Linked DNA regions of Cricetulus griseus. The protein of the gene in region 2 interacts with the protein of the main gene of each other region in a biochemical or structural test. Links are inferred from orthologs where the notes say so. Each region holds a gene or a part of one and is shown on either strand. Other genes may lie near its edges.

Region 1 (4,297 bases), on a different chromosome or scaffold from region 2:
CAGAAGTCTTTTGTTTTTTTCAAAAAGCATTTTAGTGATATTAAAAGGTTAACGATAAACAAAAACATCACAGAGTGTAACATGATTCAAAAGCAACTTCAAAACAGATTTGGTTTAAATGATGATATAACTTTCCTTCCTTTTTCTACAAAATTCAACACATGATTATTTTAAAGGCATCATGCTTTAAAAATAATAATCTTGATAGAAAAGAAACATTCCTATTATAGGCAAATAATAAATCATAAAAAGCAACACAATATGGAAACATTTCTTATCTAGATTATAATTCAGATTACAACAGCCCATGTAGTAACATCCTGCATTCTATTTCTATCCTGATACCAAAGGTTTGATCCCACTGAGAAAGTTTCTCTAGGTCTACACAGACTTGTGGTTTGCCAAAGCTTCATTTTGTGAAGGCACCCATTACATTTCACAACACAGTCCCTGGCCCTCTCCTTAAAGTAACTATTTTTTTCTTTGCAATAAAAATTCTTTTTTATGATACAAACTAAGAGGTTTACTTATGGCTATCTCATTCACACTGTTTTGTTTGGTCCTCCTTTCCAACTCCTCACATCTTCCTGTCCCACTCCCCCCCTACTTTTACCTCTCCACCCCCACAAAACTTCTCTTCAATGTAAAGACAGAAAAAAAGGCAGATGGACTCCACAGTTTACATATCTCCTTATCCTTTACTTATCTCCTTATGTTAAAACCCATTTGTATATCTATATCCAATATAAACGTTGTGTATCTTTGTTATATATAAACATAAAGACAAGGGGATGCAGAAAGGTAATCAGGAAAGAGAGGCCACACATTTTACAGATGTTACATTGTGCACAAATGTGGTTGCATTACTATTTAAAAACACACTTTGGCAAGATAAATTCCCATTGAGAGAGAACTAAAAAAATAGAGGAAGAATGGGAAGAATGAGGGAGGAGATAGAGAGGGTGGAGGAGAGGGAGGGAGAGGGACGGAGAGAGAAAGAGGGAGGGAATGAGGTGTGTGTACACGTGTGTGTGTGTGTGTGTGTGTGTGTGTGTGTGTGTGTGTGTGTGTGTGTTAAGGGAGGCAAAGGATGTGAAACAGGGTCAAGGCAATTGGGAAACTACTGGAAATAGCGACTTCTGAAAGCTGAGACCTTGGTCTCCACTTTGAATCTCAATAGTGCAGGAATAACAATTGGCCGAAAGAATGAGAAAACTGTCAGATGGCCTCAAGAATCACCTGAGCCACTTGTATTTGCAGACTTGCAGAATCTGGACTGGGCTGAACTATTACCTTCAGAGGGGAGGAGCTTGGGAAGACAAATCACCCTGCACCCAACACAAGCTCTTCTTAAAGGGAAATTTGGAAAACAGTAACTTAAGAAGAACTTGTGTGAAAAGAGCAAAAACTTTGTTTTTAAGTTATGCTCTTGGACCTCAGAGACGGCTAAACAAGGAAGAGAGAGCCATGTCCCACGAAGATAATAAAAGTAGAGCTCCAAGTAAAAGGCTTTCTCCTCACCCACCCCATCCAGTACCGAGTTTCTGGCAGAAACTCACCCACTTTGGGATGTGTTCATCATTAGCTTTGCAGAGTCTGTCACGAGGCTTCACGTGGGCTCCAACACACCTACAGCCACTGAAAACTCCTAAGTGCCTGTGTGTAGGGGTGTTGCTTTTGTGACCTAGAGAGGTAATGGAAAAGGCTGCCATGCTTACCTGGGTTAAAGAGCACGGCCCCCTTCAGATAGGCATATTCCTTGGTATCGATGTTCAGACTCCAGCACTTGAGAAAGAAGCTCTTTATGGCTTGGATCGCGGCGGCCGAGGGCAGGTGTCCAGCCTCCGCAGTGGACACCATCTGTGGCTGCTCTTTGGCCAGGGGATCTGCGGGCTCAGCACCCTGGGTCTCCTGCTGCCTGGTGGTGAGCGTCTTCTGCAGTACGCTAGGTTCGGAGATCTCCATCATTTCGATGTGCAGGTGATCCTGGGCCAGCTCAAGCATGAGTAGGGGCGCCCAACAGCTCCGCACCAGCACCAGCTGCTGATCCAGGGGCAGTATCTGGAAACAGGGCAAGTACTTGACAAAGCGCAGTGTCTTCAGCAGGCCAGCCGATGCTGCCTCGCACACCACCTGTGGATTCTTGAGAGTCAACGGACGCTGCACTCCAGAAGAGGCGTCCCACCAGAGGGCCCTAGGCTGCTCTTCCGGAGCCCGGGGCAGTTGATCTGAGCTCCCGGGTGTGCCACAGGCTAAGCTGCTCTGCTGGGGCTGCTCTTCACCGCACACGTAGCTGCGGTACAAGAACGCCATGGCCTGTGCGCTCTGCAGCCCCTCTGGGTCATCCATACTCTCCGTACAGTAAGACAGCTGCCACCATTCGCCTCCGCGACGTGCCTCGGACGCTTCCGGAGACACGTGCGTCTGCTTGGCGCTAGTGAGCAAGCTGTACAAGATGCTGCCCTGCTTCGGGTGCTCTTCTCCGCAGAAGCAACAGCGGTACAGGAGCGAGGCTGCCCGCCTGGCCGGTGTCCCCTCTCTACTCACCAGGGGTTCGGGGCTGCCGCAGGCACAGCCCCAGCACGGGGCTCCGAATCGCGCCCTGGACGCCTGGGTCCCTGAGCCTGACTGCTTGGCGCTAGTGAGCATAGAGTAGAGGATGCTGCCCTGGCGCGGGTGGTTCTCCCCGCAAAGGCAGCAGCGGTACAGGAGGGACGAGGTTTGCCCTCCGGGCAGTCCCTCCTCGTCCCCGATGGACTGAGCACCGCAGGCACAACCCCAGCACTGAACCCCCAAGCGCACCTTGGGCTCTACTGGAGCAGCCGCGTGCTTCTGCTTCGCGCTCATCAGTAAATTGTAGAGGATGCTGCCCTGCAACGGGTGGTCCTCACCCGCCATGGCCCGAGGCTCCTACAGCCCGTTCTGCCCAGTGGCTGCCGCCTGGGACTTATTTATACTGAGCGCGCACGCAAGCGCGTCCGCCTCCTCCGCCAGGACAAGGGCGCAGAGGGGGACGCGCCATTGCGCTTGAATGTGCGCGCTCATGACCTCGGAAGTTCAAAGGGGCAAAGAATCCTTAGAAACTGGAAATCCAAGGGGAACTTCTCAGCGCTGGAGATCGTGGACCCTCTCTTCCTTCCTCATTTTATCCCTCCTTCCCCTACCTGGGAAAGAGGAGAGTAGCGAACCTGGGGAAGCAAGTTAGGGCTCTGTTCCAACTCTTGCTATTGGACTCCGATGTCTAATTTATTCCCTTTATCGGAGGAAGAAGTACTTAAAAGAGAAAATATTCCATTTCTATGGAATCTTTGTAAACTTTTATGGAACGATTACAATTTGTATAACTTGCATTTTGTATAATGTTTGGAGAGTGAGATCTCATTTTAAGACCTTGAAAAGTGTAAACCCATACTAGTAGCTTCAGCATCGCACCAACAGTCTGAAACACCTTCCCTTCAGCTCCAGCCAAACTGCCTGAGTGTGAGTTTCAATGAAATCCATCTCCTGGCTATACATATGCACCCTAAAATTGAAAATCATTGGTGGAAGCAGGCAATAATGCTCAGTTTAATTCAATCAACCACCCACTGTGCCCGGGATGCTTGGATCAAGGAGCTGGGGGGCTGCAAACGTTATGTACTTGTAGCTGAATCTTGGGAACACAATAATCACAAGATTGTTACTGTGAGAACCTTTCATGCTTTTGAGAAGCAGAAAGCTGATAACTGTTCCTGTTCCCAACCATCCTAAGATACTATTGACAAATAGAAGAAAGCCTGAATGCTGGCATTTGTCACGGAGCCTCCTTTCACGTCAGACAGACATGAGACCAGGGGCCTCTTTCTAGTCAACCATGCGACTTGTGTCTTAACTTGATAATTCTTACACCCATTAGCTCCCTCACTTTAAGAGCGTAAGCCTTACTGGTCAGGAGAGGGGATTAGAGCACACCAGTTGGTACGGGACCTCTCTCTCTTCCATTCTCCCTCTTGGTTTTCTGTTCCCCCCCACACACACTCCCCTTTCAGTTATGTAGGGTCACTGAAATGTAAGAAAATCGAAGACACCTTCAATTTCCCCCTTTTCTTTTTGACAACTTCATACATGTACAGAATTTACTGTGATTGTATTCATCCCTATTAGCATCTCTGAGTCACATTCTCCTGCTTATTTCACTTGCCCATTCTTCATCCCAACTAGTGTCTGTCCCTCTTACTTCCTTGTTTTTATTATTTATTTATTTATTTATTTATTTATTTATTTATTCATTCATTTTTGTTTAATGCCTATCTTGTAT
Region 2 (4,347 bases):
CATAAAAGTACACACTTGTATTCGGGCACTGGGAAGGTGGAGAAAAAAGATCTCTGGTGCTTAACACTGGCCATTCTAGCCTAACTGAACTTCAGGCCACAAGAGACCCAATCTCAAAGGTTGTGAAAGGTGTTACTGAGGATGACACCTCCACATGCACAAGCGTATATGTGAGTGGGCATGCATGCATGCATGTATGTGTACACACACACACACACACACACACACACACACACACACACACACACACACAAGAAAACTGCAAATCAGTAACAAAACACCAAAGATCTCAGTCCAAGACAATGCACAAAGGCTATCATAGCTATTTCTAAAAAGAAAACATACAAATGGTCAACAGGTATATGAAAAAAGTATTCAACATCACTAATCCCTGGGGAAAATGCAAATCAAAGCTACAATAATATATACTGTTCCATACCTGTTAGAATGACTGGTACATAAATTGATGAAATTATGTGGAATAACAGAAACCTTTTTGGAGATGTATACTATATACTGTGAAGACATTATAGAACACATGTGGAGATCTCAGAAAAATCAAAATTTCCATGTGATCAGCAGTCCCACTGCTAGACATATGACCAGGGAACTAAAACCACTATGTCAAGATTTTTATGCTCCTGCATACATTATGTCACTATTCGCTATAGCCAAAAGATGAAATCTATGTAAGAATCTAAGACACATAAACAAATAAAAGCAAACAACAAAAAAACCCTCTGTGGTATGTATATACACACATATGCCAAATATACACACATGTATATACATTCACACACATATACATATACTGGAGTATTGTGTGGCCTTTTAAAAGGAAAATTCTGTCCTTTGTAGCAATATAGATGACCCAAAGAAACATTATGCTAAGGGAAATAAGCCAGAAGCAGGAAAGCAAATACCATACATCCTTCCTGGTTGCTGAGGATTGAGCATAAGGGAAATGGGAAGACTGGACAGAGTTTCCATTAGGCCCTGGAGAACTGATAGACAACAAGATGACTACAGTTAGCAATACTGTATCATATAGTTGAAATTTGCTAAGGAAGCAAATCTTATGTTTTCTCAACACAGAGACAATGACAATTCTACAAAGTGATGGGTATGTTAATTAAATTGATGATGACAATTATTTCACAGTGCATACTTATATCAAAACATCGCTATGGTAATCATTTAAATACTTTATCAGCTATATCCTAATAAAAGTGGATGAAATTTGAAGTAAGAGAAATAGCCATTACCAGATCCAGCTGATGACCTGCTGTAAAGGACAATGTGAGCAGAGCTCACATTTAGATGGATTTGTTCCATGTAGCTACACACTGTGGGTGTCTGCTTTACTCAGGTAAAGGCTAACTTCCTTCTCACTGTAAAGCCATGTGGATGGTGCTAGGAAGACATAATGCACTCCTCCCTCCCTGGGTAGTCTGAGTGAACTCAGCTCCCTCTCTATGCATTCTTAGAGGACTGCTTTCTCCTCCAGAACTTGACTCATAGTCTGTTCTTTTGTCCATTTCAGAAATTACCATGGTTGACACAGAGATGCCATTCTGGCCCACCAACTTCGGAATCAGCTCTGTGGACCTCTCTATGATGGATGACCACTCCCATTCCTTTGACATCAAGCCCTTTACCACAGTTGATTTCTCCAGCATTTCTGCTCCACACTATGAAGACATTCCATTCACAAGAGCTGACCCAATGGTTGCTGATTATAAATATGACCTGAAGCTCCAAGAATACCAAAGTATGTTCACTTTTCAAATGGCTAAGAGATACATGAAGACAGCACATGTCTCTTCCCAACCTTTTTTCCCCTTTCCTTCCCTTCCCTCCCTCCTTTCCTTCCTTTCTTGATGCCTTCTTAGGAGCGTGTCTAGCCTGATTACATTGCCAGTTGTATCTTAGGCTTAGTCCATCCTGTAAACTTTGAATTCTTCCAGCTTCTTATTAGTTAATAAATCATAGTTGTAGACCAAATGACTGGTCACCACTAAGTTACTATTTACAGTTATATTTTTTTCTAATCTGTAGTTTGTGACATTTACATTGTACAAATTTACATTTTTAACACTGTAGCTGATTGATAGATCATCATGCCATTAAGTAAATTACCATCAAACATCAGACTTTAAAAAAAAAACAGAACTGAACTGAACTTTTCAAGATAAAGTATCATTTCTGTGATGCTGTTTCCTTGATTTTTATCTTGTGGGTTGATGTGCTGGTTTTCCAGAGTCACCCCTGTGTCACTGGCAATCATTACCTGATAATAAGTAAGAACTTCCTGTAATTTCTAGTTGTTTTCTTTAGATAGATAGTATACGTGGTTGTATTTATCTGTGTGGTTCTGGGTTAAGGCCAAATATGGAAATTCATTAGGCCTGAACTACCAGCAAAGGCAATAGGTTTCTCCTGCTCTCTATCACAGATCACTTTACAAACCACCTTTTGACTCAACTCTGTTGATAACCTGCCACCTCAGGCTGCAATTTTGGCATCTTCTCAGCCATGTTCCTTCTGTTGCTTTTTCAAGGAAGGTTTAAAACTACTTCTAAAGTGCAACATTTCAATGAAACCCATAATAACAGAATGAGTGCCAGATGCAGCCCATCCTTTTGCCAAATAAGCTGCATGGCTTCAAACCCTGAGCAGTGTCTGTAGGGTATGTGGGAGAGAGGGGGCAGACTTAATTCCCTCGATCTTAATTCCCTTCCGGATTTATTTGTGCAGGTGAGGTTCTGGGGTGTTGGGACTTGCCTGAGATGATAAAGTCTTACTTTTTCCTATCTGAGCACCAGTGCATTTTCATGCTCCCCAGCACCTCTCCTCCAAGATAGTAACGTTATGGCATGAAAATATGAAGGCCACCATGGGAAGCCACGGTGCCTTTTTAGGATTGTTTGTCATGAGATAACCATCTTCTCAAATTTCCCAATACACAGGTGCGATCAAAGTAGAACCTGCATCCCCACCTTATTATTCTGAAAAGGCCCAGCTCTACAACAGGCCTCATGAAGAGCCTTCCAACTCTCTCATGGCCATTGAGTGCCGAGTCTGTGGGGACAAAGCATCAGGCTTCCACTATGGAGTTCATGCTTGCGAAGGATGCAAGGTAAAAATAGAATTTAAAAAAATCATCCAAGAATTTTCTGAAATTTTACCTATTCCATTTCCTGTTGCAAACTCACTGTAAAAAAAATTAAGATAAAATAGTAATTTTTTTGGCAGAACTCATTCTTCAAGTAATATAATATTTGAAAAATCTAAGAAAAGCTGATAAAAGTGGGGTTATTCTGCCTCTCCTCCCCTTCTCCAAAATGACTCTTGAGACACTCATCCAAGTGTATCTTGCAGAATTTTTTTTAAAGGACTTGTCCAAGATGTCATAGAAAAACAGTGAGTGGTGAGCCAGCATCAGAACCTAAGTTCCCTGATTTCCCTAGGGTGGTTTTCGCCATGCTATGTAATCTCTTATACGCGTACGATTTGACAGATTATATTTGTGTATCATTTGATCCATAGACTAATGCTATAATATTGAACGTATTTCTACATTGTGGCTATAGAAATTGTGAATCAAAGGCATGGGGTCACCAGAGTGAGGGCTGCCATGGTAGAGCAGGTGCAAGATCGTAGATTTCACCCTTAGGAAAAGCAAAATTATGGATTAGTAAGGTTTGTTCCTACCAAGCCCTAAGCTAGTACTATGTTTCCTTGGCCCCGTGTCAATCTAAGCCTGTTCAATATGCGAAAAGAGATAACTATGCACTTCCTTTGTGAAAGAGTACTTTAGGAAGTTAGTGATATGCTGCCCCAGTTATAAGGAAAATACATGAATAGATTCATGTTTTTATATAGTTTTAAAATAATCTTAACATACTCAGGGATAAAGTAATATTTATCATGTGCCCATAGAATGCCTTGCCTTATAAATACTGGGGGTTTGGTAGTGCATGTCTTTAATACTAGCACTCAGCAGCAGAGGCAGGAGAATTTCTGTGAGTACAAGGCCAGCCTGGTCTCCAAACAAAATAAAACATAAATGAATGAAGTAAGTACTGCTTCACTTGAGCTTTTCCTGGGTAATAAAGACGAAACACACCAGGCAGGCATGTGTTAGTACTTCTGGGTTCCAGATGGACAATAGGCCAAAAAGGGAAACTAGTTTTTATTAAATTCTTACCCCCAGCAGATAGTACGCGCGCGCGTGCGCGCGCACGTGTGTGTGTGTGTGTGTGTGTGTGTGTGTGTGTGTGTGTGTGTGTGTGTGTGTGTTTTGCCAATATTTAACCACATTCTACAAACATTTTCTCAACTGTA
Region 3 (4,272 bases), about 69 Mb from region 2:
CCTGGCGTCTGCCTGGGAGGAAGCATGGCACGGGAACCGGAGGCCTGGGTGACCCTGACCCTGAGCCGACGGAGAACGGGACGGCTCGTTGAGGACTCCTCCTCGCTCGGCCAGAGCCACCTCCGCGCTGAGTGGAAGGCTGCGTGTCCGCAGTCGACGCTTGTACTTTAAAGACCTCTGCGTGTCGTGCATCCTGCCTTCTCGGCCAAAGCACCGGTTATTTCAGATGATAAGGGATGCACTTTATGCGTCTTTCATTCCCGGTTATTTCAGATGATAAGGGATGCACTTTATGCGTCTTTCATTCCGTCTGCCTCGTGGGTGAACCACGATCTCGTTTATGCAAAAGCACTCGGACTTAATAAGTCGATTAACCGATAGTTAGCGCTGCCCTGGTCCCGGCGCTGGGGAGGGAGGAACGCTGTCCGGGGCCGTTTGCGCCCGGTTCACAGCCAGCCCTCAGGAATGCAATCATGAGACAATTAGAGAGCAGTGCAGGAAAATCTATAATCAACTCCTTTGCGGGGTGCGGTAAAGGCTGCCTGCTCCCGCTGTCGCAGCGTCTGTGGCTCGTCTGCGGGGGAGTGACTGACCTGCCAGTCCTCGTGGGCCACACCCTGGCTGACTCCAGTGGGCCTGCTCTCAAGACTGGGATCTGGGGGGCACCCAGGCTGCAGTCTGCTGGCCTCGGCATGTCAGAGCGGGGCCCCCGCCGGAGTCCGCGGCTTTGGAGACCGTAACCGAGGGGTGTCTGGCGTGTGTCACACCGGCCTCTAACGGGCACACCTGCCTCGATGCCCGGCCCTGTGCTCAGCTGGCCCCTGTGCGGTCACCAGCAGTGGGACACCGCTCACAACCGTCCCCCCTCGGTCCCGGGGTCGCCAGGTGGCCTAGGGAGACACGGGGGGCACCGGCGCTGAAGCTGTCAGCGGGTCGCTGCCGACTCAACACACCCAACCAGGTCAGAGCCGGGCCCGCAGCGCCCGGGATCTAGGCCGTCCCGCGCCTGCTCCAGGCTCGGCGGGCGCAGCCGCCCCCACCCTCGCTGTATTCTGGAACGCGTAGTCCCTGAGCGGCCCTTTTCTGAAAGGCTGTGAACACAGAGAAGGAATAATAACAAGAGCGGGGCACACTGGGAGCCTCCGCGCCTTGGCGGAGACGCCCGACAAGCGGACACGCGATGCTTCCTGGGAATTGAAGTTTTAGGTTTGCCTCCGCGGTGGAAACGAGTCCCGGGAGTTGATCGCTGCATAGAGTCCGACAGCGGCCTGTTGGACTTTGTAGTCCTCGTGCCCTCCGCTACGGGCGTTCTTGGGGAACATGGCCACCCCGGAACTACAAGTCCCAGAAGCCTGTGCGTGGGGGAGTGGGTGGGCGGGGTTGGAGCTGTGGGTACCACCTCCTCTGCAACGCCGGGGCCGGGAGTCTTAGAACCGAGGGCCCGCAGGGGTCCCCGCGGCCGCTGCGATGCAGAAATACGAGAAACTGGAGAAGATTGGGGAAGGTAATGGAACCACGAGATGTTCCTGAAAGGTCCTTTTCTGAAGACCCTGCTTGCAGTCCCAGCTCCCTTACCGTCAGCTATACCTGCAGGCTCCGACCGCAGCACTGGGCAAAAGCCCTGGCCGCTGAGTCCAACACTCGGTGCAGACACCAGCCCTTCTCCCTGTGTTAGCATCTGCCGCAAACTCTTGCTCCTAGCTTTAGCAGTCTCTGTGGACCGTTTTTTCCTAGCCGCGGCACTTCCTGCATTTTTCACCCCTAGCCTCAGCATCACTTGCAAACCTCACCTGGAACCCCTGCTTCAATTCCCTGCAGAACTCCCAACCTTAACATTTTTTTTGCAGGCCTTTACCGCTCTCCTAGATGACTCCTCGATACTTCCCGACCCACCCCCACCCCCACCCCCCGAGCTTATGGCAGATTCTCCCTGCAGCTGGAGCCTTGAACCGGTTTAGGGACCTCCACCTTAGCATCCTCACTCACAGAACTACTCCATACCTAGCCTTCACCTGAAAACTTGCCCTTGCACACTAAGATGTTGAGGAGGATCCTCTCCCTCACCCCCGACCTTCCCCTAGGCACCTATGGAACTGTGTTCAAGGCCAAAAACCGGGAAACCCATGAGATTGTGGCTCTGAAGCGTGTGAGGCTGGATGATGACGATGAGGTAAGACAGAGGCATGGGGGGAGAGGTGCAGGGCCTGTCTGGGGTGGGCTGTGACTACTGTCCCCTTGCACATTGTAGGGCGTGCCAAGTTCAGCCCTCCGGGAGATATGTCTACTCAAGGAACTGAAGCACAAAAACATTGTCAGGTGAGGTCTCTTGGAGGAGACAGACCCCCATCAGACTGGACTGTATTGGGATGCTAGAGGCCAGCTTGGGGATCTGTCTGAGTCTTCCATTCTCTCTAGGCTTCATGATGTCCTGCATAGTGACAAGAAGCTGACGTTGGTTTTTGAGTTCTGTGATCAGGTGAAAGAGGGCTGGGTGGTGGGAGAGGTTAGTGCTCATGGGAGGGTATAGGAGTCCAGACTAAAGCTGAACTCTGTTCTCTGCTCCACACCCTCATCTATATTTAGGACCTGAAGAAATATTTTGACAGCTGCAATGGTGACCTGGACCCTGAAATTGTGAAGGTGAGGAGAGAAGTGTCTGGGATTTATGGAGTTAGGGTGTGCCTAGGATATCCATCAGCTCTCCTTGAGTAACAGGTTGAGCTCCTGGAGTACCAGAGAAAATCTGTTTCTGCCTTCCAAGGGCTACTAGTCTTAGTGAACATTTTTATTCGGTCTCCTTTGACTTGCACAGTGTCTGATTTCAGTGATATCATATGCACATAAGAAATATCTCATGGGTTCAACAAATACCAGCCCTGCGTAGTGGCAAATACTTCTAACTTTAGCACTCGGAAGTCTGAGGCAGGAGGATCTCAAAACCAGCCTGAGCTGCATAGCAGGGCCTTGCTTCAAACATCAGGGCAAAAACAAAACAAAAAGATTAGAGTGATGGCTCAGCAGTTAACTCATATTAATTACTCTTGCAGATGATGAGTTCAGTTCCCAGCAACCACACAAAGTGGCTCACAACCACTTGTAACTCCAGATCCAGGGGATCCAGTACCTTCTTTTGGCCTCCAAGGGCACATACCCCCCCTACACACATGCATACATAATTTAAAAATTAAGTAAATCTTGACAGAGAGAGAGTGAGCGAGAACAAGAGAGAGAGAAAGGCAAACAAAACAAATATATGCTGTAGGTTTTGCTTTTTACCAGGCACTTTTCTAGGCCCAAGACCAAGTACCGTGGCCCAGGTTCCAAGGGAATCAGGTCCTGAGTAATACTATAGCTTTGTATTTGTGTTGATGGTCAAGGTGTGTGTGCTAAATTGCAGCCATGTAGGGAAAACCAGCATGGACTGGAGATGCAGGAGGGCCCACCAACCATCAGTTAAGAAAGGTGTGAGGCCGGGCAGTGGTGGCGCACGCCTTTAATCCCAGCACTCGGGAGGCAGAGGCAGGCGGATCTCTGTGAGTTCGAGACCAGCCTGGTCTACAAGAGCTAGTTCCAAGACAGCCTCCAAAGCCACAGAGAAACCCTGTCTCGAAAAACAAAAAACAAAAAACAAAAAAGGTGTGAGTAGCAAGGAAAACTTGGTTACTGTTGTACCTCTACTACCTAGTGCATGCAAAGCAGAGTCTCACAAGTAACTCGATGAGAGGCTGAAAAGATAGTTCATTTGTTAAGAGTACTTGCTGCTCTTGCAGAAGACTCTGTTCCCAGTATTCATATTGGGTGGCTCACAACTACCTGTAACTTCTGTTCCAGGAGATCCTACCCCTTCTTTTGGCTTCCACAGACACACACACACACACACACACACACACACACACACACACACACACGCACTAAATTACAGAGTAATTGGATAGACTTCTTGACTTGCTGCAAGTCATATGGGCTATAGGACACAGTGGGTCTGACTCCCTCTTCCCTGCCTCTCCCAGTCATTCCTCTTCCAGCTGCTGAAAGGCCTGGGATTCTGTCACAGCCGCAACGTGCTGCATAGGGACCTGAAGCCCCAGAACCTGCTCATAAACAGGGTATTTCTCCGGGAACAGGGAGTGAGGTTGCAGAAGCTGGAGCCTGGGATGGGGAGCATAGTGAGTAGGATGGGGAGAAGGAAGCCGGAGCCTACCTTAAAAAGTATCCTCCGTGTCCCCTTTGTGTTATCTCCCCTCAGAATGGGGAGCTGAAATTGGCTGATTT

The links. The genes of interacting proteins can lie anywhere in the genome.
Region 1: the proteins of Pparg (region 2) and Nr0b1 form a complex in vitro, tested with the Homo sapiens proteins (2 studies listed by BioGRID, with this or other methods). The link is inferred for Cricetulus griseus from reciprocal best matches to the Homo sapiens genes PPARG and NR0B1.
Region 3: of the proteins of Pparg (region 2) and Cdk5, one has a biochemical effect on the other in vitro, tested with the Homo sapiens proteins (3 studies listed by BioGRID, with this or other methods). The link is inferred for Cricetulus griseus from reciprocal best matches to the Homo sapiens genes PPARG and CDK5.

The regions. Positions count from the first base shown.
Region 1 is NC_048604.1:82,193,629-82,197,925, forward strand, and holds the start of Nr0b1 (nuclear receptor subfamily 0 group B member 1), read right to left. Parts: upstream 2,899-4,297; coding exon 1,719-2,898; intron 1-1,718. UniProt on the Homo sapiens protein: Nuclear receptor that lacks a DNA-binding domain and acts as a corepressor that inhibits the transcriptional activity of other nuclear receptors through heterodimeric interactions.
Region 2 is NC_048601.1:29,399,457-29,403,803, reverse strand, and holds the start of Pparg (peroxisome proliferator-activated receptor gamma), read left to right. Parts: upstream 1-1,534; 5' UTR 1,535-1,551; coding exon 1,552-1,771; intron 1,772-2,969; coding exon 2,970-3,139; intron 3,140-4,347. UniProt on the Homo sapiens protein: Nuclear receptor that binds peroxisome proliferators such as hypolipidemic drugs and fatty acids.
Region 3 is NC_048601.1:98,098,654-98,102,925, forward strand, and holds the start of Cdk5 (cyclin-dependent-like kinase 5), read left to right. Parts: upstream 1-1,374; 5' UTR 1,375-1,467; coding exon 1,468-1,504; intron 1,505-2,081; coding exon 2,082-2,170; intron 2,171-2,248; coding exon 2,249-2,316; intron 2,317-2,415; coding exon 2,416-2,476; intron 2,477-2,583; coding exon 2,584-2,640; intron 2,641-4,010; coding exon 4,011-4,106; intron 4,107-4,246; coding exon 4,247-4,272. UniProt on the Homo sapiens protein: Proline-directed serine/threonine-protein kinase essential for neuronal cell cycle arrest and differentiation and may be involved in apoptotic cell death in neuronal diseases by triggering abortive cell cycle re-entry. Interacts with D1 and D3-type G1 cyclins.